4 linked regions of the Drosophila melanogaster genome follow. The protein of the gene in region 1 interacts with the protein of each later gene in a pairwise test. Each region holds a gene or a part of one and is shown in the gene's direction. Other genes may lie near its edges.

What was found.
Region 2: the proteins of hbn (region 1) and CG34453 interact in a two-hybrid assay, tested with the Drosophila melanogaster proteins (one large-scale study listed by BioGRID).
Region 3: the proteins of hbn (region 1) and NimC1 interact in a two-hybrid assay, tested with the Drosophila melanogaster proteins (one large-scale study listed by BioGRID).
Region 4: the proteins of hbn (region 1) and CG8478 interact in a two-hybrid assay, tested with the Drosophila melanogaster proteins (one large-scale study listed by BioGRID).

Annotation. Positions count from the first base shown.
Region 1 is NT_033778.4:20,954,152-20,963,106, reverse strand, and holds hbn (homeobrain), read left to right. Parts: upstream 1-2,197; 5' UTR 2,198-2,519; coding exon 2,520-2,676; intron 2,677-4,261; coding exon 4,262-4,568; intron 4,569-4,717; coding exon 4,718-4,847; intron 4,848-7,331; coding exon 7,332-7,419; intron 7,420-7,645; coding exon 7,646-8,193; 3' UTR 8,194-8,439; downstream 8,440-8,955.
Region 2 is NT_037436.4:231,359-235,725, reverse strand, and holds CG34453 (uncharacterized protein), read left to right. Parts: upstream 1-2,374; coding exon 2,375-2,403; intron 2,404-2,461; coding exon 2,462-2,601; intron 2,602-2,653; coding exon 2,654-2,878; intron 2,879-2,935; coding exon 2,936-3,069; 3' UTR 3,070-3,246; downstream 3,247-4,367. Other genes in the region: E(bx) (enhancer of bithorax), read left to right, coding at 1-147, 212-316, 381-744, 1,074-1,158, 1,222-1,427; CG34454 (uncharacterized protein), read left to right, coding at 3,424-3,766, 3,834-3,892; CG42846 (uncharacterized protein), read left to right, coding at 4,137-4,170, 4,241-4,367.
Region 3 is NT_033779.5:13,972,006-13,978,343, reverse strand, and holds NimC1 (nimrod C1), read left to right. Parts: upstream 1-2,089; 5' UTR 2,090-2,147; coding exon 2,148-2,366; intron 2,367-2,464; coding exon 2,465-4,114; 3' UTR 4,115-5,186; downstream 5,187-6,338. Other genes in the region: Cyp28a5 (cytochrome P450 28a5), read right to left, coding at 1-149, 237-341, 406-652, 797-984; He (hemese), read left to right, coding at 5,455-5,553, 5,733-6,104.
Region 4 is NT_033777.3:9,761,051-9,766,635, forward strand, and holds CG8478 (uncharacterized protein), read left to right. Parts: upstream 1-2,703; 5' UTR 2,704-2,852; coding exon 2,853-2,885; intron 2,886-2,975; coding exon 2,976-3,576; intron 3,577-3,630; coding exon 3,631-4,497; intron 4,498-4,558; coding exon 4,559-4,788; 3' UTR 4,789-5,085; downstream 5,086-5,585. Other genes in the region: Mpi (mannose phosphate isomerase), read left to right, coding at 1-95; Snap24 (Synaptosomal-associated protein 24kDa), read right to left, coding at 1,161-1,799; MED6 (mediator complex subunit 6), read right to left, coding at 5,391-5,585.

The DNA of each region.
Region 1 (8,955 bases):
CTTGGATGGGAGGAAGAGGTCCTGTAAAGCGACAATATTGATTCGCAATTACTTACACTCAAGCGCATCAAATTTATAATGTGCTATTGTTGGGTAAGGCATTTGCCTAATAAAAATATATGTACTGATGATTTTCCAAGACTACTATTTAGCCTTTCTCAATCACCCATCAAAATATAAACCATTTGATAAGAGATTACCTAACGAATTATAGCTACTTAAGAACTAATTCCTCGTATCTTCAATCCAAAATGGGCAATCAGATTGCCCTTGGATAAAAAAGGGCATGTCCTGGGCTGGATTGAGGATCGGCAATTAGTGAGGAAGGAGCCCTTTTTTCTTCTGTTTAGCAGTCCTAATGAGCCGGCGATTACGACTAAGTGCGCTGATGATGCTGCATAAATTTTGGTGGCCGGCGAGCACTATGCATTCCACATTAGATTAGAGATTCCGAGGCTGTATGATCTGGGCAGGAACGCAATCCTAAGTCTCGAGAGATGCCCTCTGCAGCTCTAAATTAAACGAACATGCAATCGGATTGCTGAATGAAATCTGCATAGGGAATGCGTCCTATGAAAATATGATTAAGCGCCTCGGCAGACTAAACCTAATCCTGCGTCCTGTTGAGTCCCCGTGTCCTGTGGCGTCATGCATCTGGCACATTAATGAGTCCGGTCAACGCTTTGTCCCGCTTACTTGTTCACAGTTTTCGCGGAAATTACGTGTGCACTTTTCCCGATTTTCCCGGCTGAAGGTGCCGCGATCCTTGGCTTTGTTTGGGTTCGGGGCACAAAGGAATTGTGTAAGTTTCGACAAATTAGAGACCATAAATCCCGGTCCCTGCTTTGTTATCATTGTAGCCGGCGTTTTAGCACACCATGTATCCTTCGGGCATTAGATGGTTTTTCTTTTTTCGGGAACCACTTTTGGCCATTTTTGGCATCCTTTTGTGTTATGCAACCTGTGGGTGGACCAGGGTTCTGGACTAAATCTTGGATAGAGAGCCCTGTCTAAACTGAAGCTCAACGCAAATCCCAGATCTAAGTGGGTGATTTAAACAAGGCTGAGCTATTTTCGGTTATTTAATCGTAGCAAAACCAGGGCCTACATATTTTTAGATCCTTTTTGGTTGGTGCTACTTAAAATATTACATTTTTATCATTAAAAGGAAACATGCAGAAAATATAAGATTGGTAGGAAATCTTCATAGTATTTAGATAAATATATGTATTAAATTTATTTATGTATTATTATTATTATGTATTTATGCACTGGCTATTAATTAAAATGATTTGAATACTCATTAGTGAAATCAGTTCCGCACTGTACCTGTTGCTTTTAACGAAATTCAATGCGGCCGAAATCCTTCGAGATGAGATCAGTTTAATCAATGAACTTAGGTTTCGATCCTGCCACAGTTCCTTGCTAAGTAAAGGGATTCATTGATCGTTTGGCTTGTTCAATGAAACCACGGGCTCATTCTCAAGATCACGGGGATCCTGGCCATAAATCTATCGCCGAAATGGAAGCGGAACTAATAAAAGAGGACCTGGCAAATGGCCGACTTGATTCAGGTACCAGTTTGGCAATCCCGTGAGTGGTTCAACCTGTTTTGTGATTTGTGGATGAGCCGGGAAACGGGAGGGAGAGGAAACTACTGTGAGAGAGAGTGAGATATATATAAAGGAAGAGGGGGAAGGGTGAAATAGTTTTTAACAAGCGAAATTTGTGAAATAAACACAATTAATGAGCAAACCATGTTAGTTACAACTACCGAAAGAGAGTGCATTAAATGGGTAGGAAAGAGAAAGGTGTCAAGGAAAAGTACCAGAGAGATTTGAAAAGAGAGACAGAGAGAGAGAGAGAGTGGAGGAGGCCAACACCCCTAAGCCAAAACCAAAAGCTACCTGCAACCCAAACTCACACACACCGAGCGAGCCAACCCAACACACAGATACACGGCACTGAGATACTGAGATACTGGGGGAAACTACCCCTACAGCAGGAGAGAGAGGGAGAGAGCGAGCGTGTGCGAACGAAAGAGACGGCTGGCATGGCAGGACATGGGCGAAAGCGAAGGATTGGGAACTGTGATTCCGATTCGGATTCGAGAGCGAGCGAGCGAGCCTCGCCCATTTCACTTGCTAGCGAAAAACAGGCAACGTATTTAAACCTACGGGCGGCAGGAATCGCACTCAGTCGGTGGTTGTTGATCGTCACGAGCACTACTCACTCGCAGTTATTCACTCGATTCGATTCAGCTCATTGCAGTTCGTCGCAGTGGCTGTTCCGTATTCCGTATCGAAATCGCATCGTTTAATCGACAAATTTACCCGATAATAGCAATTAATTAAGCTAATTTTCAAAGCGTGCTCAACAAATATTGTGACATTAAACAAAAGTTGCCAAAAACGAAAATCTGGAAAATCGCTAACAAAATAAGAAAAAACCAACTTGTAGCAAGTGAAGTAAACCAATAGAAATCCGTACGGATCGCGAGTTGCTCTTTTGGTGGAGCTATGATGACCACGACGACCTCGCAGCACCATCAGCACCATCCAATCATGCCGCCAGCCATGCGCCCCGCCCCCGTTCAGGAGAGTCCTGTCTCACGCCCCCGCGCCGTCTACAGCATCGATCAGATCCTGGGCAATCAGCACCAGATCAAGCGCAGTGGTGAGTTTTAGTTTAACAAATATAAACTGGGGATAACTTACTGGAATGTAAATGTAAGGGGATCCTTTTTACAAAAATTCATCGTTTGCCGTCGGCGATCTGCGTTAGAGTTTCTTAGTACATCACACAAAAAGCTTAAAAGGAAACATAATCAAGATACAATAATTGCATTTTCTTAGAGAATCTTAATAAATTGTTTAGCTTAGTTTGATTTAAAAAATCCAATATCAAAATTAATTTGTGAATAGCTATGGGCAGGCGTAAACGAATTAAAAATTCTAAATTTGAATGTATAATTTGAATTGATTACGACCTATTTAGTTAGTCTAGCTTGTTAATTACAGCTTTGAAATATTTCTCACACACATCTTAAACATAATGAAAACATCCTGAATGCGTTACAACTTACCACCAGCAGGGCAAAATATCACGTTAGACTTCATGCACAGCCAATGGGCTCCCCCCCCAAATTTGGTGCTCCAAAATCCGAACCGTCCTCCTACTCCACTGACCACATCAAATAGATCCTTTCGCAAAGGAGCCGGAGCAGTGGAGAGGCAGATTGACATTGCCATCCATATCATATGCAAATTGCTCGCAAGGGACATTTTATCATAGTTGGGAAAGGTGAATGAGGGCAGTTCAAAACTTTCCGACAAACACCGACCTCGAACTCCACCCAGAGAGCAAAAAGAAAACATATCATGACAATGGGAGTTGTTCGGCATGTCGGAACTCTTGTTGTGGGCGTGGCCAAGCTGCAGGAGGCAGTTCGCCCAAGGATCTACTTGAGAAGAAAAAAAAAAACACTGTATCAAAACATATCTGGCCGGATATATCGCATGGAGAGCGGGAACGGGCAATTGCGTCATTAGACCCGTAATTAGATTGAAGTCCTCGGGAGAGGTGGAGGCTGGAAATTGCCTGGGCTGGATTCAGTGGAATCACGGCACCCATTGGTCCAGGTTGCAATTTGGCGACAACGAGCGGCGTGCGCACCGCAGGACACTGCATCCTGTGAGCCTCGTAATTTGATGCTCGCTGGAAATTACCTTCTTGCCACATGGGTCTGCGTAAATGTTACGAAATACGATAAGGATACAACCAGGACACGGGCGTCCTGCTGAGCGGGGACGTGTCCTGGTGCCATTGTGAATCCGATTAATTTGAGGTTCATTAAAGTTTGATTACACGTTTTGCCTTGGCTCGAAAAGAAACCGTTTTGAGTACTCACCAAATCGTTTCGTGTGAAAGGATATTTATATGCTCGCTGCCGTGGTATTGGGGTTAAAACTTATTCCGGCTTTATATTTATTTGTTATTGATTGCCAAATCAATTTGCGTAGCTTTCGAGCACTTGAAGGATTTGAATTTTATTCGAGACTGAGACCGTACAAAAAAAAGGGGGTTAAAATTGAGGATATAACTACTTCAGCCACAATTGAATGAACTTCAATTTCTGCAGCTGCCGTTTGGCTTTCGATTTTAAAAGTCAAACGCGAAACTTTTTGTTTCCCCACACACTCGAGTTCAATTCGAAATTGTTTAACTTTATTTCCCTGCCACTTTTTGTTTTTTATCGCAGATACACCCAGCGAAGTGCTGATTACGCATCCCCACCACGGCCATCCGCATCACATCCATCATTTGCACAGCAGCAATAGCAACGGCAGCAATCACTTGTCGCATCAGCAGCAGCAGCAGCACTCGCAACAGCAACACCATTCGCAGCAGCAGCAGCAGCAGCAACAATTGCAGGTTCAGGCCAAACGAGAGGACTCCCCAACGAATACGGACGGCGGCCTGGACGTGGATAACGACGACGAGCTGTCCTCCAGTCTGAACAATGGCCATGATCTCAGCGATATGGAGAGGCCGCGTAAAGTTCGAAGGTGAGTGCAGCGACAATCCGCTTAGCAGATCAAATCGTATTTACCCATTGTCGGGCTATTAAAAAACATGCCAACAAAGAGGAGGGGGGCAAACTCTTATCCGACGTATCTAACGTGCCGCCCTTGCCGTTCCTTTCGATTTTTCACAGATCTCGCACAACATTTACAACATTTCAATTGCATCAGCTGGAGCGAGCCTTCGAGAAGACCCAGTATCCCGATGTTTTCACAAGGGAGGATCTGGCCATGCGATTGGATTTGAGCGAAGCACGCGTGCAGGTAATTGAAATTGGTTTTCGATTCGCACAATTATTTTCGAATTAAGTTGCAGTTCAACTCGCTCAAAATGTATCTGTATTTTCATCTAACGGCTATGGGCTTTAAATATTGCCATCGCAGTGTCCGCTAATAAGCGAATAAACCACTTTCAGAGTCTGGGAACTTGAATGGCTAGATAAGAACGGGCAAAACAATCGCCGAACCCAATTTGTAAATGGTCTTTGAAACACTTAAGCCCCACTTTGTATACAAACACGCTTAGTTCGTTAGTCGGAGGAGGGTTGAATACGGGTGAATACGCGTCCCTTTTTCTCTATAGAGGGTTGGCACCAAGGACATTAGATATTGTGATTTTCCAAATGATTAAATCGTCCGCGCTCACATGGTGTTGGTATTTTTATTAACTCTACTTTCGGGTAAACAATTAAAGTGGCTTTGGGTGCTGACTGGCGGCAGGACACGCGGCCAAATATACCCGACTACACATGTAATTAGGGTGTCCTTTCGCCCCGAATCGCATACGATTTGATTTCAGTTGTGAAACGCTTTCAAACACTTCACATCTGATTGAGCGATTCGCTCAATTTCGATGCTGTTTGTTGACAGGGAATAAAAAAGCAGGGAAAAGTATGGCCTGGCACAAAAAGTGAAAAAAAACAAGAAGTGAAGAGAATGTGAATGTGAAACAACTTGACCTAAGCACTCACATAGGGATTACCCGCTTCGAATACAAATTGTCCGTTTCACGGTCGTCATCCGCATGCTCACATCCTCACATCCGCATTCTCATCCTGCGCGTCCTTGCACTTATTCGTATCTGTTAGCAGATTAACTGTAATTGGTCATTGATTCGCATATGCAGAGCGTTTCGGGTACTTGAATAGTAACCGACTTAGAGCTGCCCGATTTTAATACATGTGTTATTTTTTTTGCTGAGCTGCTGATAGATACAAAAGTATCCAAAGCGTAATCCCCGCTTGTTTTGGGGTTGGTAAGTGAGCAATTATTTTCGGATTTGCATGCTCGTTGTGTGGGGCATTTGGTGAAAAAAAAAGGAGTAACCAGCGACTTATCTGCCGGGTTAAGTCAAATTTTTATTGTCGAGTTGGGGTATCGAAAAAAGCGAAAAAAATATTGAAAGCGAATTTGTATCAATCTGGAAATTGTTGAAACAAAGCGTTTTTGAACGCTTTATGCAGTCTTTTTAATTGGAATATATGCAAAGAACTTTCACATTTGAAAATCCAAAATAACGAATTCTTATACAATTTTTTAAAGTACACATTTTTTTTTTGAGTTTACAAACCGCCTCTTCCAGTTTTTGCGACAGTTTCTTCTCTCGTTTTGATCGCACATGTGTGATAAATGCTGAACGGATATCCGCAATTCAACTTTTACTGCCTGGCTGCTCTGGCACAGTGGTTTAAGTTGTTGCCATAATAATTGCTGCCAACTGACAATTAAAAAGCCCACAAAATCGCACACACACACAGCACTTATGCTGTGAAGGGGTTGGGGGTGGTGGGTGGCGTTTTCTCAGCAGAGACACACACAGGACACAGGACAATAATTGGCAGCAATTATAGCAAGGAAATCGTTGCTAATTTACTACTCGCTCAACTGCACACATTGTTGCAGATTGTGGGTGGCCGTAGAAGGGGGTTACATCTAAATACAGGGTGTCTATAATTGCAGAGCCTTCTCTATTGTCTCGAATTCATCAACGAGCGTTACAGACAGTTGTCAAGTGATTTCAATTTACAAACAATTAATTTTGCCATCAAAAACGAGAGCCTCGGCTCGGACTGAAAATTCGTCGCCCCCAAAAGGCGGAAATGTATGTGCAGCCAACGCCTATTTTGTGGATGGCCTAGGGGGCACATTTGCATAGGGGTGAATTTGGGTGGCTGCGAGTTTGGTCCACCCCAAACCCAAGCAAGTGTCGAAAAATGCATAAGACACCCTTTTGTCCGACGAGCGAGACGGGTAGCGACAGACAGAGAGCGTTGCAAATCAGAGCAGAACACTTCCGATTGGATGCCATTGTATTTGACCTAACCCTCCACGGCGTCCAAGTCCTTTGGCTCAGACACTCGAGGCTGGAGGCGGCAGAAGGAGCCATCCAAGGACCAAGTGCTTCCAACTTTGCGAGCACACAGATTGATAGATTGGGAAATTGTTCGGTTTTTGGTCAAAGTCAAAGCAATTACAAGTCGCTTGCCAAGGCGCTAGTTTTGTAGAACTAATCAAGTTTAGATCGAGGGATAGATACCCTTTAGAAAAGTATGCTGGTTTTTGAAAAGTATACAGGTTGTATACATAAGTCAGAAAAAGGCATATCCTCTCTTCGGTAAATGATATATCAGATAATTTTATGTTTTTTATTACCCCTTTAGCTTATAATAGCCTTAAATCCGAGGGCACCCAAAATTTGCATACCTACAACTCCATCTCTAAACTCCCTTCTTTTTCGTGCACTTGCAGGTGTGGTTCCAGAACCGTCGGGCTAAATGGCGCAAACGTGAGAAGTTTATGAATCAGGACAAGGCCGGTTACCTTCTGCCCGAACAAGGTGAGTTAACCACCCCCATCTCACGAATCCACCCCATCAAATCCCAGCCATCACCCACCCAACCAGCGATACGCATTTGATTTGTCCGCAAATTGCCAAATTACGTGTGCAACATAATTAGGAATTATGTCGCTTGTGTCGCTTGTCTCACCACCATAACCACCGCCACCACCCGCTCTCTCTGACTTTCGACTAACGAAATCGCCCTTTTGCCTTCCGCTTGCAGGTCTGCCGGAGTTTCCGCTGGGCATTCCCCTGCCGCCACATGGACTTCCGGGTCATCCGGGCTCGATGCAGTCGGAGTTCTGGCCCCCGCACTTTGCCCTCCACCAGCACTTTAATCCCGCTGCAGCCGCTGCCGCCGGCTTGCTGCCCCAGCACCTGATGGCGCCCCACTACAAGCTGCCCAACTTCCACACCCTGCTCTCCCAGTACATGGGCCTGAGCAATCTGAATGGGATCTTTGGCGCGGGAGCAGCTGCAGCAGCGGCGGCAGCATCGGCCGGCTATCCGCAGAATCTATCGCTGCACGCAGGACTCTCTGCGATGAGCCAAGTTAGCCCGCCGTGCAGCAACAGCAGTCCGCGCGAGAGTCCCAAGCTAGTGCCTCATCCCACACCGCCGCATGCCACGCCCCCAGCGGGCGGCAACGGAGGCGGCGGACTGCTAACGGGCGGACTGATCTCGACGGCCGCCCAATCGCCGAACAGCGCGGCAGGTGCCAGCAGCAACGCCTCCACACCCGTCTCCGTGGTCACCAAGGGCGAGGACTGAACGCTGTTCCGTGATATTTGGATTCGTTATGTACATATATAGATACACGCATACTTGTAGATATCTAGTTTTATTCATGGTCACATAGCCCACGCACTGTAAGATATTTGCAGCTTTGTCGATTGCCAAAGTTAACGTAGTTGTAATGCCTAAAGAATTATGTATCTGTAAGCGATCTTCGAGCGAACATTTTGGTAGTCTATCCACTAAGTTTAAACTGTCGAGAAATAAACGATATGAAAAGATACTTGTTGCGTTTTATGGCTGGTTTGAAGATATGCTAAAAAGTAAGATAGATTGTTGATCAAAGAAATGAATTATTTCACTATAAAGATCTTACGTCAAGTGATCTTAAGTTATCACACAAAACATAGGATGTGTCGTTTCTTTTGTACATTCCTTGTAAACAGGTCTTTCAAATTTTCTAGCCTTCTTCACATATTTTCATTTTCAATGCCAAAATTAATCTCCCGGTTAACTTCCGTTAACGGGAAGGACTTTTATAATTTTCCACAACATACATACATACACCGATCTACCCGCCGCGCGGCAAATTAATCGCAAAAAGTTTGTACCTTAAGTAGGGCTTATGACCCTACAAAGATCCATTATGAATCGCTCAAATGCTACAATTGATTGTGTACAAAACTCGACTCGACCTTTCCTTTTTGCCAGAGTCAAATGAAAGCGATCTTGGGCCGAATATCGAGGATATTCGACGACCTACCCCGACAATCGAAGAAGGGGCCAGAGTTCAAATCG
Region 2 (4,367 bases), on another chromosome or scaffold:
TTCCTTATTAGAGCGTAATTTACAAAGCGAAATACACGAAGATGTAAAAACTAAAGTCCAAAGACATGTACGCCCCTTAAGTAACGCTTCACCGGATGAACAAAGCGAAAATGAGAGAAGTGGCGAACCAAATTTAGATTTTAAACGGTACGTATACTCATGCACTTGTGTGCAATATGATATATCTAATAATACCTAAATCAAATCGTAGGACAGAGGTGCAGAACCCCAGACATGGCGCAGGCCGACCAAAAAAGTTGACAAGAAAAAAGGAAAAGTTGTATTGCATTTGCCGTACTCCATATGATGACACAAAGTAATGCAGAAATGCATATTCTTAACGCGCTTTTAATTAATATATTGTAATTGTGTCTATGTAGGTTTTACGTGGGGTGCGACTTGTGCAGCAATTGGTTCCATGGGGATTGTGTCAGTATTACCGAGGAAGCTTCTAAAAAACTATCGGAGTTCATTTGCATTGATTGCAAGAGGGCGAGAGAAACGCAACAGCTTTACTGTAGCTGTCGTCAACCATACGACGAGTCACAATTTTATATATGCTGTGATAAATGCCAGGATTGGTTTCATGGCCGTTGCGTTGGAATACTTCAGAGCGAAGCAGAGTTTATTGATGAATATGTTTGCCCTGAATGCCAACGCAAAAACGATGCTAACGCTGCAAATATGAAGAAACTGACTTCAAATGACGTTGAAGAGCTGAAAAACTTAATTAAGCAGATGCAGGTAATAACCTGAAATTCATAATAATTTTTATTTATTATTAGGGACCTTAATTAAATAAAATTTAATTTTGTGGGAATCGTTATTCTGTGTTAGATAAACGAACAAATCGTTTATATATTGATGGCATCAAACATGTTAAAATACGGTAATGTTTGTAAAATTGTTGAAAAAATATTACAAAGTAACGAACAGAACGAAAGTATTATAAGTTCAAGACCAAGTGAATCAAATATCCAATTCGTTCATTCGTTTCACATTCATTTCTGGCTAACGAAAAACTCTCAACTGTAGCACATCAAAAATGGAATAAATATTAAATTTCCCTACAGTTACACAAAAGTGCTTGGCCATTTATGGAACCGGTTGATCCGAAGGAAGCACCCGATTATTACAAAGTGATTAAAGAGCCAATGGGTATGTAACACAAAAAATAAATTTATTCGAAAATAAATAAAATGGGGATATTTTTTTCTATAGATCTCAAACGGATGGAAATTAAACTCGAATCAAACACCTATACCAAACTATCTGAGTTTATAGGCGATATGACAAAAATTTTTGACAACTGCCGTTACTATAACCCAAAAGAATCATCCTTTTATAAGTGTGCTGAAGCACTAGAGTCATACTTTGTGCAAAAAATTAAAAATTTTCGCGAAAATGTTTTTGACCAAAGAACATAAGAAATAATAGCCCTTGAAAACTTTAGAACAAATGATTATAGTTTATAAAGACACTTCTAACAATTTGAAAAACGTCCTTCAGTTATGTATTCTTATTTTGAATCAAATGTTATATAAACATATATTATCAATAAAAACACATATAATTAATTATAATAAATTATGTACATATTGACCATATTTAGTAACGTACACCAGTATGCAATAAATTTCATATTCACCAGACATTTGTAAGATTAAAAATAATTAAGTAAAACCCCCTTTGTACAAAACATTAAAGTGTAAATAAACAGCATGCATTTCATTTGATATCCTTATCATATGCTGTAGGTTTAAACTTAGGCGTATGTAACTTGTAAAAATACAAGCTTATAATAAATGTTCAGCATATTTTGAAAATAACTTGCATTTATTTAGTCTTTGGTTTGTTTACTGCTCATTGGACTTTTAAATTCACACCTACTCAGCAAAAACAAAAATATACCTTAAATAGCTTATTAATATTATTAGACGGATTCTTTGCACTAAAATAACAACAAAATCCTCATTTGTTGATCTGCATTGAAATTTTTGTAGGCCCTTGCATAGGGTATATTTTGTAACAGTCCGAAATTTGCTTCGCAATGAAGGTACCCTTTATGATCACAAACTATATTCCTATATTCTTGATCAATATCAGCAGACGATGCGACATAACAAAGCCCGTCCGTCAGTTTCTACGCAATCCAGTCTCTCAGTTTTAAAGCAGTTATACATGGAACTTTCCCAAAAGTCTTCTTTCGGTTGCAAATGTCACTATATAACGTAGTCGTTACTAGACTGTCCAGAAGTTGTTTATTCTACGAGTAATGGGTATAAAAATACTAATTAACTGGTTGCCATGGCGAGCGTGCGCAGAAAACGGGTTTATTAAACAAAATTATTGACTAGTTAAACATAATAAAACGATGGAACCTGCTAAAGTGATTGGAAAGCTGTAAGAGTTCAGCACATCTTATTAAAATATGAATAGCAGATATTATTAACAATTTTAGAAAGGAGCAAGTGCGCATGGAGCACAATTCGCGTCGTAGTTTTCCAAAAGCTTGGAGCGAAATTTCGGGCAAGCAAACTAACAAGTTCTACCACCAATCTGAGATTAATTCTCAACTAAGTAACCAGCTAAAATTAAAAGGTATATTTACATAGAGGTTTATAATTGTGCACTCACATACTCTACCCTATAGACCTGTGCCCTTTTGTGCACAACAACCAAGGCGAATCGCGATTCGTATCTCCGGAGATGTACAAACCTTTACTGGCCGTCTGTCGCTGTGGGCGAACTAAGGAAAGCATCCATATGGGAAAATGCTTACAAAGAGCCTTGAGTCCAGATTACAAGCAAGAAATGGTACAGAATGGCACTGATGCATGGAGTGCAGAACCATTTAATGTGCCTTCCACTTCAAGCTGTAAGTAGTGCACCTACATTTAATTGTATGGGTACAACAATATAAAGAGATTTTCAGCTACCATTGGCTTCGCAGCTATTTCGAAAAACTACCAAAAGCTGGAGCGTTCTATGCAATATGTTTCTCCTGCGTTTTCCATGCCTGGCCCTCGAATTACAGCAGTCCCTTACTATAATATTATTATTGGATAAGTCATCACGAATTTTAAAGTTTCTTGTTGGTCATTTCCAACCCATATTTTTGATGAATCAAATCTGGGATTTCCCTAGATTATTGCAAATATAAGCACATGATAATAAACTTAAAATTGATAGCGGGCATCGTACAGAACTGGATTTTCCAGACGATTGACTGCTTTAGAAACCTGTATTCAGTGGCGTTCCCATATCTTATTTACTACTTTGTATTTTGATTCACTGAATTAAAACTTTCCAGTATATGTGAAGTTCCTTATGCTTAGTGCAGCTGATTCTTGTGTTGGTTCAGTTTCCCTCGATCAGCGAACGAAAGCACATACGACTATAAGCTTCAGGATTCAGTTAAAGATGTGCATCAATTGGCATCCAATATTTATTTTTGCTTGTTTAAGTCAGTTGGGCGCAGCCCAAGAACCTTTAATTTTCGAAACATCTCGTAGCCCATGGAACAATGCCGCCGCAACGACGTCAATACCAATTTCGCCCACCAGCGCAAACTTAGTTTTGGTTAACAATGTAAGAATACCAGGAGGTCTTACACCATTTGTACCAGCACCGGCCCCAACCAAGGAATTTCTGAACTGCTTTGGTAACTGTCCCACCACATCGCAATACAATCCCATTTGCGGCAGCAATATGCAGCTTTATATGAACGAGGAAAAATTTAATTGTGCTCGTTTCTGTGGAGCTGGTGAGTCCATTATATCCATTATATTATTATTTTTTAATCGAAAATATACTTCACTATTCGTTTTTAGACATTCAAATAGTTCGAAGAGGTTCTTGTGAGGGTCTTTTTGCGATGACGCGAGGTTGATATGCAACAACCAGCTATTTAATGTAATAGATTAATATACTCCAACTAAGATATTTTCAGTTTAAATATTATTATGGCACAGAGATAAGACGCCACGCAGTACATAACAACGCAAAATAATATAAATAAAATAAATACATACTAATGCAAAACAATCAAGATAACCTTGACGCACTTGTAGAAAATTTCGAAATGGATTCCCAAGACAGTTCCGTTCTGAATTTCAGAGAGAATACTTGCAAACATGGAGGCGATTTATCAATTGGTCGTAATCTTAGGTACATTATATACATAAATATATTTTATTCTGTGTGAAAGCTCCTTCTAAAATATCCGTTTTCTACTCAGCTATTATTTTTGGGCATCTGCAGTTCCAGTCCACGGTGTTAGCTGACCCTGCTTTTCGTCGCCCAAATGCCATCGCGCCCGCCCGCACCTATAGCGGTGTATACAACCACTCGACGATTCACAGAGC
Region 3 (6,338 bases), on another chromosome or scaffold:
GTCAGTATAAAGAACAGCACAAAGGTCCAGGGCTGGTTGAAGAGATCATTGATTTTCGACATTATGGGTGTGGGCTTATCCGAAAAGCTTTCAGCGCCCAGACCCAAAACACAATCGGTGACCATCTCTGTTGTGAAGCAGAGACTCATCTGTGGACGATAAAGTAGCAAAAAAAAAAAAAAAACAGGTTTGGTTTCATAGAATACGTACAACAGATAGTATAGATGGAATCTTACGTGCTTGGCATCGATGCCGTCTTTAGAACCCAGACGCAATTGCTTCTCCACCCACTCGGTCAACTTTTGGCACACCTTGTTTGTCACCGGATAGACTGTCTTTATCTGTAATTATGTATATTGGTTGGATCAGTACTTTTCGGGCTTGCCACTGGATGAACTGCCTCACCCGTCCCATCGTAAGACCAGGCGTTACGTCCGCCCTTCGAGTTTTCCACTTTTCGCCAGTTAACGAGAACGGATTGTTGGCGAAAATGAAATCGGTTTTCTCGTCAATATTCTTGGCGATCTCATTGTCGTGGAAGTTCTTAAAGTTGGACACAAAGACTCGACGCGCCAACGCGGGATTGATCACCAGCAGCTGTGGAGAGCGGCTGCCAAAAATGCCCACAGCATCGTACTTGTTCTTATACTGCCTGAATAAAATGATCGCATTAAATTCAAGTAAAGCGTAATTTTTTAAATGCGTTTTAAGAATGGTTCTTGGTTTCTTTGTGAAACAGTTGATGATCCATTGAATTTTGGTAGTTAATATAACCTTTCTAGCTGGGATAACTCACCTGTATATATCGTCTAGATCGTAGATTGCATGCCGCTTCATAGTAAACATGTTTGGATAGTTTCCGCACAATAGCTTTGGCTTGGGACCAGGAACGCCCCGTTTCCTCCAATAGTCATAGTTCCATACCAGCACGGCATACAGCAGGCCCACCACCAACGAAACCAGGGTCAAAGTAATCAGAACCATTTTCGATCGCTCTAAAATCTACGTCCACGCGCGACGAGTTCTAAACGGCGTCTGTTGTGGAATCAGATACTCTGCTCTATTTGTAGCTGCTCATTGAATTTGGGAGAGGTATTCAACAGTGTGGAATCACCGAGATACCTGAGTGAGTGCTCTGGGAGAGTAAACTACTCACACTTTCACCATAAACAGTTCTAACATATAAATGATAAGAGCTAATCATTATTGCAGGCGGTCGTCAATCGTCATATCAAGCAATTATTATTTATTTACGGTCTTGTTCTTTGTAGAAAAAAGCAATAACATTTGATGTTGCAACTCGACTAGCCGCAATGAAATTAACCATTTAGAATAAATTTAAGTATCTTTAGTAACCTAGGGCATATTTGAATGGCTGATGAAATATATACAGTAGTTGAAGGAAACATTATAGCGTTTGCTTCTGTCTTACATATTTTGCTTGCAATATTGGGATAAACAAATGCTCAGATAATCCCAAGCGGTTTATATGTATAGGTCTAGATTGTCGAGTCCTCAACGGATGTAGCTGATTTTGGAGCAACATGAAATATATAAATTTACATTTGCAGCTCAGTTGAATTTGAAACGTTGCGCCGAACTCATTTACATAGAGATCAAAGCTGAATTTTACAAGATTTCTGCTCTTTCCATAATGTCACACATCCAATGCCTTTGGGTGTGTCTGGGTTTTTTTATGCTACTCGTCGACTTCATTCAACCCATCGGCTTGAATGTTTGTAACCGATCGCAGGTGGTTACTTACAAGAGATATGTCGAAAGGAGTAGAGTGATACCATACCAGCATAGATCTTTCTGGAGTGGTTGGCAGACAAAATACCGCACCGAGTATTATACAGACGAAGAGGTAAATACAAAACTTTGAGTAAAATATAAATGGGGAACGGAACTAGTCTCCCTAAAGCTAATAATACAAATAATTATAAAATACTAAAAGATTCCTATGTACAAAGCAAACGAAGATATAGTGTGCTCGTTATCTGGAATTCATTAAAAATCCAAGAGAAAAGAACATTACATTAATTGAGGGTCCAGTTCTGTTTAATTCATCGGACAGACTGGTTGCTTTAAGATAGTGAATATATATATGGTATATACTTCAGGAAACGAATTGACTCGCATTACTCATGGATTTTACTGCATTTTCACTGCATTTTGTGTGTCTGTCATTGTCCTTTGGCACAAGTTTCGCCATTTTACGGCATGGCCTAAATGATTGCAGTCACCCGGAAAGCGTTCCGTATAACCGTAAGGTTCTTAAAAGTAAATTGGTTCCGTTTCAACAGTATTCATACTTTCATGGTTGGGTTACTAAGTACAGGCATCAATATGTCTATGAAGATGAGGTAATTCGAATTTGTACATAATTTATATTATTATTTATAGCTTTGGTAAGTGTGTAGTTAAAGTTTCCTTTAAAGAGGCTTTTTCTCCTGTTCTCTAGACTGCCTACAGGACCGTAATGAGACCCAGTTGCTGTGAGGGCTACGAAGGATCCGTTGAGAACTGCAAACCTGTCTGCAGACAACAGTGTCCTCAACATGGATTCTGCTCGTCCCCCAATACTTGCAGTTGCAATGCGGGCTACGGCGGTATCGACTGCCATCCCGTTTGCCCAACGGTATGTGGAAAAAACGAGTTTTGCGATCGCCCCGGAGTCTGTAGCTGCCAAAATGGCTACAAACGAACTTCTCCCAGCGACAATTGCCTTCCAGTTTGCGAAAAGGAATGTGGACACCATAGCTTTTGCTCGGAGCCCGGGAAATGCGAATGTGAACCTGGGTACGAGAAAGTGGGAAACGGCACCGTCTTTCCAGATGGATACAAGAACAATTCAAATGGCAATTGCTCGCCCATTTGCCCAAAGGATTGTGGCCAAAACAGCCGATGTGTGAGGCCAGGTGTGTGCGAGTGTGAAAATGGATATGCCGGTGACGACGGAGGCACCAATTGCCGACCCGTGTGCTCCACTTGCCCGGAGAACGGATTATGCTTGAGTCCCGGCGTTTGTGTCTGCAAGCCGGGCTACGTAATGAGAAATGATCTCTGCCAGCCGCATTGCGAAAAGTGCTCGGATAACGCACACTGCGTGGCGCCCAACCAATGCGAGTGCTTTCCGGGCTATGAGTCGTCGGGGGCGGACAAGAAGTGCGTACCCAAGTGCAGCAAGGGATGTACCAACGGCTTTTGCTTTGCACCGGAGACTTGTGTTTGCAGTATTGGCTATCAAATGGGTCCCAATCAAGTCTGTGAGCCAAAATGCAGCCTAAACTGTGTTCATGGCAAGTGCACCAGTCCAGAAACCTGTACCTGCGATCCGGGTTATCGCTTCAAGGACAACTCCCATCACGAATGCGATCCTATTTGCGACAGTGGCTGCAGCAACGGACACTGTGTGGCACCCAATTTTTGTATATGCCACGATGGCTATCAGCTCAATAGCACAAATCCTGTCACTTCTATGTGTCAGCCGATCTGCAAAGGCTGCCAATTCGGAGACTGTGTGGCACCGAATGTGTGCGAGTGCAACGTGGGCTATGAGAATATTAACGGACTATGCGAGTTACAAACCACGACGGACTCCTATGAATACAGCACCACAACTGTGGAGTTGCAATCATCAACTGTAGACCCTCAACTGCAGACATCAACCAGCGAGGTTCCGCACTCAAATTGCACTGCCGGTTGCATGTGCTGGATTGAATACGATGGGATGGGTACTTTCAATACAGCCAAGTGTGCCAAGATCTGTGTTGATCCCCAGGACAAGCCGTGCCTCAATTTGGACAATTGCCAATGCGATTTATCGAGTGGTCAACTGGTGTGCCAAGAGGATAGTGACATGGATTACAGCGGGGAGAATTCGCGATACGTTTGTCATATTTTGCCAGAGCAGGGGGCAAGATCAGAGGCTGAGGTACGGATTCCTGACCGAACTGGATCGTCTAACAAGTGGATGATTATCGTAGGCTCCTGCGCTGGAATGATCATTGGTGTGGCCGCCACAATCATTGGCATAAAGTACTATCGACGTTCTACCTCTAGGCGAAATTTTGAAGCCGAAGAAGCCATTGTTGAATGTGATTTTGAATAGTTTGAATCCACACAAAATCACTTATCCTTTCAAAATCGCTTGTAAAATTGTTAAATTACTTGAATTAAAAAATGTAATAACATGAAATAAATTTATAATAATAATTATAATAATTATTTGTTGGTAATGTCCTCAAGCTTAAAAGAATAACTGGACCATTTAGGTACGGAATGCAGGACTCACTATAAATGTAAGCAAATGTCAATTGTGCTTACTTAAAGTTGACTATCTAGGTTTCATCAAAAGAGGGTACTTTACAAGTACGAGATATATATTACGTCTAACTGTAATAGTTAAGAAGATTTATACGAATACTTTACGAGTACTGGAAAAGAAAACGCTGATACCAACCAGTCGTATCAGCGTTTCCTTTTTCAGTACTTGTCATATATGTATCTATTCCCATACAGAGTTTCTGTGTGGTTAATCAATCCAATAGATAAAACGCACGCTTTAATAAATCGTGATATCAAACATATATTTTGGCCAAACACTTCCTCCACACGGAGGAGCTTTCAATAGCTGTTGTAAAGGCAGAGTTTTTGTAATGCTCTAAAACTGTATAACTTTTCATAATAACAATACAATGCAAAAAAACCGGAAACTTGCAGTTTTATAAACTGATCAAATCCGTGAAGTATTGGTATGACAACCCCTTTGTTTTTCAATACCTTTCGTTTTGTGTTTGGAGTTTTAAGTTTGGACAACCACAGCAATTTTTTGTTTATTTACATTAAAATAGTTTGTTCATCACTATATAAGGGAAATTATTTCTTTTTAAAAAATTATTTTTGTATTAACCATTATCATTAGTTACAGGAAACGTTTGGAATGACACACAAAAGTGATTGAGTCATATTTACTACTAAATCATTGGAGGCCTGTTAAGCATACATACATACATATATAATATGTAATATTTAAAATATGTAAAATGTTCGCGGACTAATAAAACGACTGAGATCAACTGATTTGTAATCCTCATATTTTTTAGAATGAGAAAAAAGTTGTAAGTCAACCAAAACATACCACTCAATAAATTCATAAAATGAACTCGACGAGCTTAACGTTTAAAAGTGTATTTAAATCCTTTACTCACCTTTCTTTTTTTATAAAAAAGTAAGAAATAATTGTACAATTACTTCTTACTTTTATAAAGCCAATTAAATTAAAAATAAATACACTGGTTACATATTTTCCTCCTTATTGGATATACCCGAAAAGCTTTCATATAAAGGGTACTAATCTCGCTCCGCAGAAGGCAAGCGAAATTTTAAAGTTTAGTTCATTTTTTGGCACTCGGCGGAGCAGTTCACACTAAGTTTACATAAGTCACTAATATGCATAATTTTCAACTGACCGTCGTTTTCCTGGCACTGTTCACTTTTACCAGTTCCTTTGGATACCGTTCTGAACATCCGCACAGAAAACCAATACATGTACGTACTTTTTCTGTCTTTTAAAATCAATAACATTAAATACCCATGACAAAGGGTCAAATTGCATATGCAAATGACATACAAATATGTTAGTCTAAATATTACATATTTATAGGTATTTAATTAAAAAAATTTAATTTTAAAAACCAAGAATTATCATAATTTTTTGTTTTTGTCAGAGCAACCGTCCATCTCCAACTACTACAATGACAACAGATTCAACTTCAACTAGCTTTATGACAACAGATTCAACCCCAAGTGAAACGGAATCCACTTCGGATACATCTACTGAAGAAAGTACACAGATTTCTGACTTCACCGAAAGTTCAACCGAAAGTTCGACGACAGCAAAGATATTTTTAAAGGACAATGAGATTTCAAAACCAGAAAACAGCAACACTTTACTTATCAGTGTGTATGGCATTGTAATTACCTTGGCTATTTTAGTTGCTCTAATATACTGCATTCGACGCCATTATGGTTCATATTCTGTGAAAGAGCAATGCAAGCCCATTGAAAGTACCGCATATTTTAATAATATTAAATATTAAAATCATATTTAAATAATATTATCTAAAAACAAGGATTTAAATAATAACTTTCTTAAAAACAAATTTGCATCCACTAAGTATTAAAATAATTTTTGGCACGAATCTTAAAATATTTGAAATAAACATGACTCATTTATTTCCGACAAGCGCTTCAAATATTTTATTTCTACTTGTGCCGGATAAGAAGAATTTCAAAACAAAAACATTTGTTATATTTAAGCGATACGGAAGTAA
Region 4 (5,585 bases), on another chromosome or scaffold:
AGGCGGCGCCGGAAATCGAATTCGCCCAGTCCGACGATTGCGACGAGGACTTCAGCGGCTACATAGCAACCAGCAACTACTTTCGAGTGCCCTAAAATTCTCAGTTAATCGAAATATTTTGTACAGTGCAATAAATCCATTAACACGTTTTGGTGGTGAATTATTTTGTTTATATTTACTTGCAATTAAGAGCTAAGAATGTAAGCTAAAGTGGCAATAGTAGCGATAAATAAGTTATCTAATCAATTGGCTATACTCGTTCCATAGTACATTTAATAATTAACGAGAAATATCTTGCGCACAAACAGGTAGTTTCTTAAATATTTGCGATAATTGCAACCAACAATTTCAAGTACTTAAGCTAGAGCTACGTAACTCGATCGGGGTTACATTCACTGGGGATAAATTATTCATATGTACGAAGCAAGAGGTTCGAGTGCAAATCTAGTGTAATTCAATAGAATTGGTGCTTGGACTGCTGTGCTGGGCTTGCGAAATGCCCAAATACATGGCCTACTTAAAAAGGGTTAACAATGGAGAACATAAAATTGGCTACGTTATACATAATTTCCGCCCGTCTTTGTTTGGTTTTTCGGTGCCCGTGCGGGATGCGGTGGTTCTACGAATTGTAAATACATTAATTCACATTTATCCATCTCAGCAGTTGCTTGGTTTGATTTCACAAAGATCGGTAAAATGCTCAAAAAGTTTGTACCAAAAACAGAGTACATCATATACGGTAAATCTCATAATAAAATTGTTTCCGGCGCCATCTGGTTGCCATTTGTACACGAGTGTAGTAATAGTAAGTAGTTAGTATGTTGGTTCGCATATATGTATATATATATATATATATATATATATATATATATATATATATATATATATATATATATATATATAGTTTTAGAAAGTAGTAGTTAGTTCATCCGGCTCGGCGGCTTAAAGTTCTTGTAAGTAGATGGGTTTGTTACGCTTGCGTTTGCCAGGAGTAGTTGCCACTACTTGTATATGTGTATAATATATGGTATCAATAACGCAATACCACCAGCTACGGTTTGTGCCCACAACATTGGTTTCTTTCCCTAACAACATTGAAATGGAGGTGGTGTCTGACTAACATGTTCGCTATGGTTTCGGGACGTGGCCGTTGTGCATATTTAACTCTTGAGCAGATTGTTGGCGCGCTTGTTCACGCCGTCCATGCGAATGTTGTTGGCATCGCCCTTGGCATTGATGCGATCAACCTGTTTGTTTTGGTTCTCCAGCTCGGAGCCCATGTCCAGGGCCATGTTGCGCAGGTTGCCCAGCATCGAGTTCACCTGCCCGAGATTCTCGTCCATCTCATCCTCACGCGCATCGTTCGTGATCCTGGCCACATAGCCGGACTGCGGTGGTGCACCCATGCCGCCGCGTTCCCGCTCATCAATGACCCTTTGCGGCTGGCTGGCCACGATTTTGCCATCGTCATTGGCCTTCCAGGCGCTCTCACCGTCGTCCTTGATGTTCACCTTCTTCCACGGCAGCACACAGATGCCACAGCACTTTTCCATGCCACTCAAGTTCTTCTCCGCCTCCCTCATGTCCGCGTTGATCCGGTCCATGCCCTCCTCAATGCGGTCCAACTGCTCGCCCTGGTCATCCAGGGCCACCAGCGTGCGGATTCCAGCCTCCTTGCTTTCGTCCATGAGGGCGAGCATCCGACGCGTGCTCTCCAGGGATTCATCGGCCACCTGTCCGGACTTGAACTGCAGCTCCTGGAGCTCAGTGCGCGGCTCGGCATTCTCCACGGCGGCCATTTCGGAACTATCTATCTGGTGAGATCACTTGAACTTGAGCTTGGCAAGTGGTTGAGAGGCAAGACGGCTGTCTTGTTTTTTTTTTGGGTGGGGAAATCTGGCCAGTGACTCACTCGCGCGAGATGAAAAACTACCCTTGGTGCTGGTTCGGTGTGTGAACTCGGTGGATATGTAATTGGGGCGGGGATGAGCTCGTTTGTGCTCCGTACGTAGGAACTTATTGCCAAGGTTTAATAATTTATTTGCGAAAGTATGAATTTTCACACCACACAACAATTCGCCAATTTGTATACTAGAGCTGCAAAAAAATCGATGTTAGTATCGATGTCGTTTTCGATAGGCGATTTTTACGTGTGTTCACACTGTTTAATATTGCATTTAGGCTTAGTTCGCAACAAGTACAATTAAAGAAATTATGCAAAACAAGCTGCAAACTATTTACGAAACAGGGCTTGCTTACGTTTTACTATTAAATCTGAGTTTAAAAGTTTAATATTGCATTTAGGCTTAGTTCGCAACAAGTACAATTAAAGAAATTAAGCAAAACAAGCTGCAAACTATTTACGAAAGAGGGCTTTCTTACATTTTACTATTAAATCTGAGTTTAAAAGTCGATTTACCATGCATAAACTAATAATCCAGTCTGATATTACACTTTTATCTAAGACATGAACCCTGTTCGAGTCTGATAAAACACAATTATTTTATGTTTTCAAAAATATTTCCCATCTAGTCACTGTAACCTTTCAATTCGTCGTGTGCCGAAAAAATTAGATTTATTTCTACAAAGTCTCCTACGCGTTAACATCAATTTGAAAGTAGTGAAGAATTTATAGTTTTTTCAATACTTTTCATAATTTAAAGCCGCGCATTCCCATCGGCGCCGTTGCTATCTTCATTGCGCGCGCAGTGTTGAAAAGTGTGTTTGAAATATTAACGCTTTGTTTTTTCGGTACAGCGTCGGTCTTCAGCTGCTCGAATTTTTGCTTAATTGCTTGTATTTATTAATTTGGGAATTCCTCGTGGCCAATTGGGAATAGCATATACTTAACCATGGACGATTCGCGCAGAACTATGGCCGGCAAGGCAAGTGTTTGGTGGTTTCAGTTGGTGTTGCTTCCATTTGCCGGGAAAAGACTTCCGAACATTATCCCATTTTCATTGCTAAAACAATAGTTTCACTTCCAGCAGATCGATTCCCGTAGCTCATCGATAATGACAAACGATGAGAGCGTCTCCATGTATTTATCCTTTGACGCGGAGGACACCCTGTCCAATGCCAAGTGGCAGTCGGCCCTGGTCACCCAGAACAGCCAGTTCCTGGAGGTGCACAACAGCAAGGTGGAGGTAAACACCGATGATAAGGACCTAAGGCGCACTATCCTAAAGGATCTGCATCAGTTGACCATTGGGGAACCGGACCAGAATTCTCCTCTGCGCCCATTTGACAAAAGTATTCTTAACCGGCACAACGCCTTGTGCTCCACTCCCTCCAAGGGCAATATTTCGACCGAAACGCAGACACCACAGATCATGGAGAGCATAGATCTGACCCAAATTGACGACAAGGAAAACACACAACCGGAGGGGTGTGGCGGCGATAACTCGACCTTGTCCAGTTCAGTGGACGTGACCGCCAATACGGTTAAGGCCAATACCCTAAAAACAGGGGATGCTACCATGGACAATGTATCCTTGCAGGAGGCTGCCAAGACCCCAGCTCCCAGCCAAGTCTATCCCTTGAGTGCGAACGTAGTTTTAGAGAATATAACTGAAGGTAGGTTTATACTATTGAGATATGGTTTCGTTCTATAAACATCTACATTTACAGTATCCAACGAAGGAGTATCCATGCTGGTCTCGCCAGCCGGAGCCGAAAAGGAGGTCGCCCATGTCAACGAGGTAGTGAACGAAGTCTCTGAGCTAATTGCCAAAGCTCTAAAGATCTCCGCTGATTCTGTGAAGCCAGCGACCTCCAAATTAAAAGTGGAGGCGGGCAAGAAGAGGCAGTCCATGAGCTCCACTTATTCGGGTGCCGCCCTACCGCGCCCTCGGCGCTCCTATCTGCCCACCACCACCGCAGAGACGCGAACGTACTCCTTCAAGCAGCGCATGTCGGTGGTGGTCAAGACAACGCTCAACAGCCCAGCTCGCAAGCGGAGTGTCGGTGGCGGTGTGTCACTAAGCCGTCGCAGCTGCTTGCCCGTCTCCAAGCTAACAAAGAGCAGCATAAGAAAGTCGCTCGCTGTGACCAGCGTGCGTTCGCCTGAGAAGATCGCCTCAAAGCCGGCTAAGACATCGACAAAAAGCATTCCGGAGAAAGTTTTTAGCTGCAAGAATTGCAGCACAACCTTTCGGGTGAAGTCACTTCTTGACGTGCATATGCGAATGCACGATCCGGTTGACAACGGAGCCAATACCCTTAAGCGTCTGAACAGCAATCCGGTTGCAGCGGGAGTCTCGAAGAATCGCTGCAAGTTTTGCGATAAGAATTTCGCACTGGAACGTGCCTTGCACATCCATTTAATGCAGAACTGCGACAAGATACCGCCGTCCGAGAAGCGCAAGCTGGAGTTCACCGAGCTGAACCACGAGAAGAAAGCCCAGCTGCCAAAGATCGGTGGCACCAGTGGCATTAACCATCCCATGACGATGCCCCAGAAGCCACAGCAACGCATTAGTACTATTCCCAAATTAGGTAACTATTGATTGAACAGCACGCGTTCTTAGAGAGAAATTATTACAAACCCAATTCACAGCTCCCTCACAAGGAACCCAGTCCATGGCTCCACCGAGCGTGAAAAAAATTCCCAAGAATGTGGCGCATGCCGGCGTCTACCGCACTCCCACAAAGACTGTGCCCTGCCACATCTGCAAGCAGTCGTTTAGGAGCATACTCGAGTTCACAAACCACAGCCTGACGGTGCATGGAAACAACCAGCTTAAGAAGATGACCGGCAGAGAGGATGCACAGAGTGCCCACGATTAAATTAAGCGATTCGTGTGTAGCCTAGTCTATGTCTAAGTTAAGTGCTGTGGCGTAGCTGTGGTCCGGTAACGGCGCGTTGTGAACAGATCGCCGGGCAGCTGTGAGTTAGCAATGCCTGGCATTTCGAGCGCTTCTAACTCAATGTTTCGGTTACTCGAATGCTTATTAATTGTACACTTCAGCTGCACGACTGGACTGCTTTGTGAATTTTTTAGGTTTTCGTATGACATTCACACAAAAATAACTATCGTAGTCTAAATGACAGTAATTACATTATATTCTAGGTTACTAAAAACTATTTTAGTTTTGAATTTTGTGTTTTCTTTTTTTTTTTGTTAAGGTTATTGATTGTTGTTCTTAATTGTTTTCTCACGGAACAAAAATTGCGTTTTAAAATTTGAATATTTAAATGGTCACTAGTTAGAGCCACTTTAAAAAAAAATAGTTGGCAGTACTAGCAAAAGTAGATTTCGCTGCTTTTCGCTGAGCGTTGGTTTGGCCAGTGGAAATGCAGGCAGCATTCAGCGCCTTTTATGCAGCTGCCAAAGGACTCGGACTAATATGTATGTACGTTTTTTGAGGGTGCACCTGCATTCACATAATCACTTGCTCTTCTTTTCGGGCGGTGGCTTCATGTCCACACCCTCGGTTTTGATATCTAGCGGTCCTGTGGCATTGTTCATTTCGGAGGCATTTCTCGCTGTGTTCAGATCATCGCCCGCTGGTGGCGGCTGCTGGAGATTCTGCAGCATGGGCGGTATTGGTGGGGGAAATTTACGCAAAAGCTCTGCCAGCAG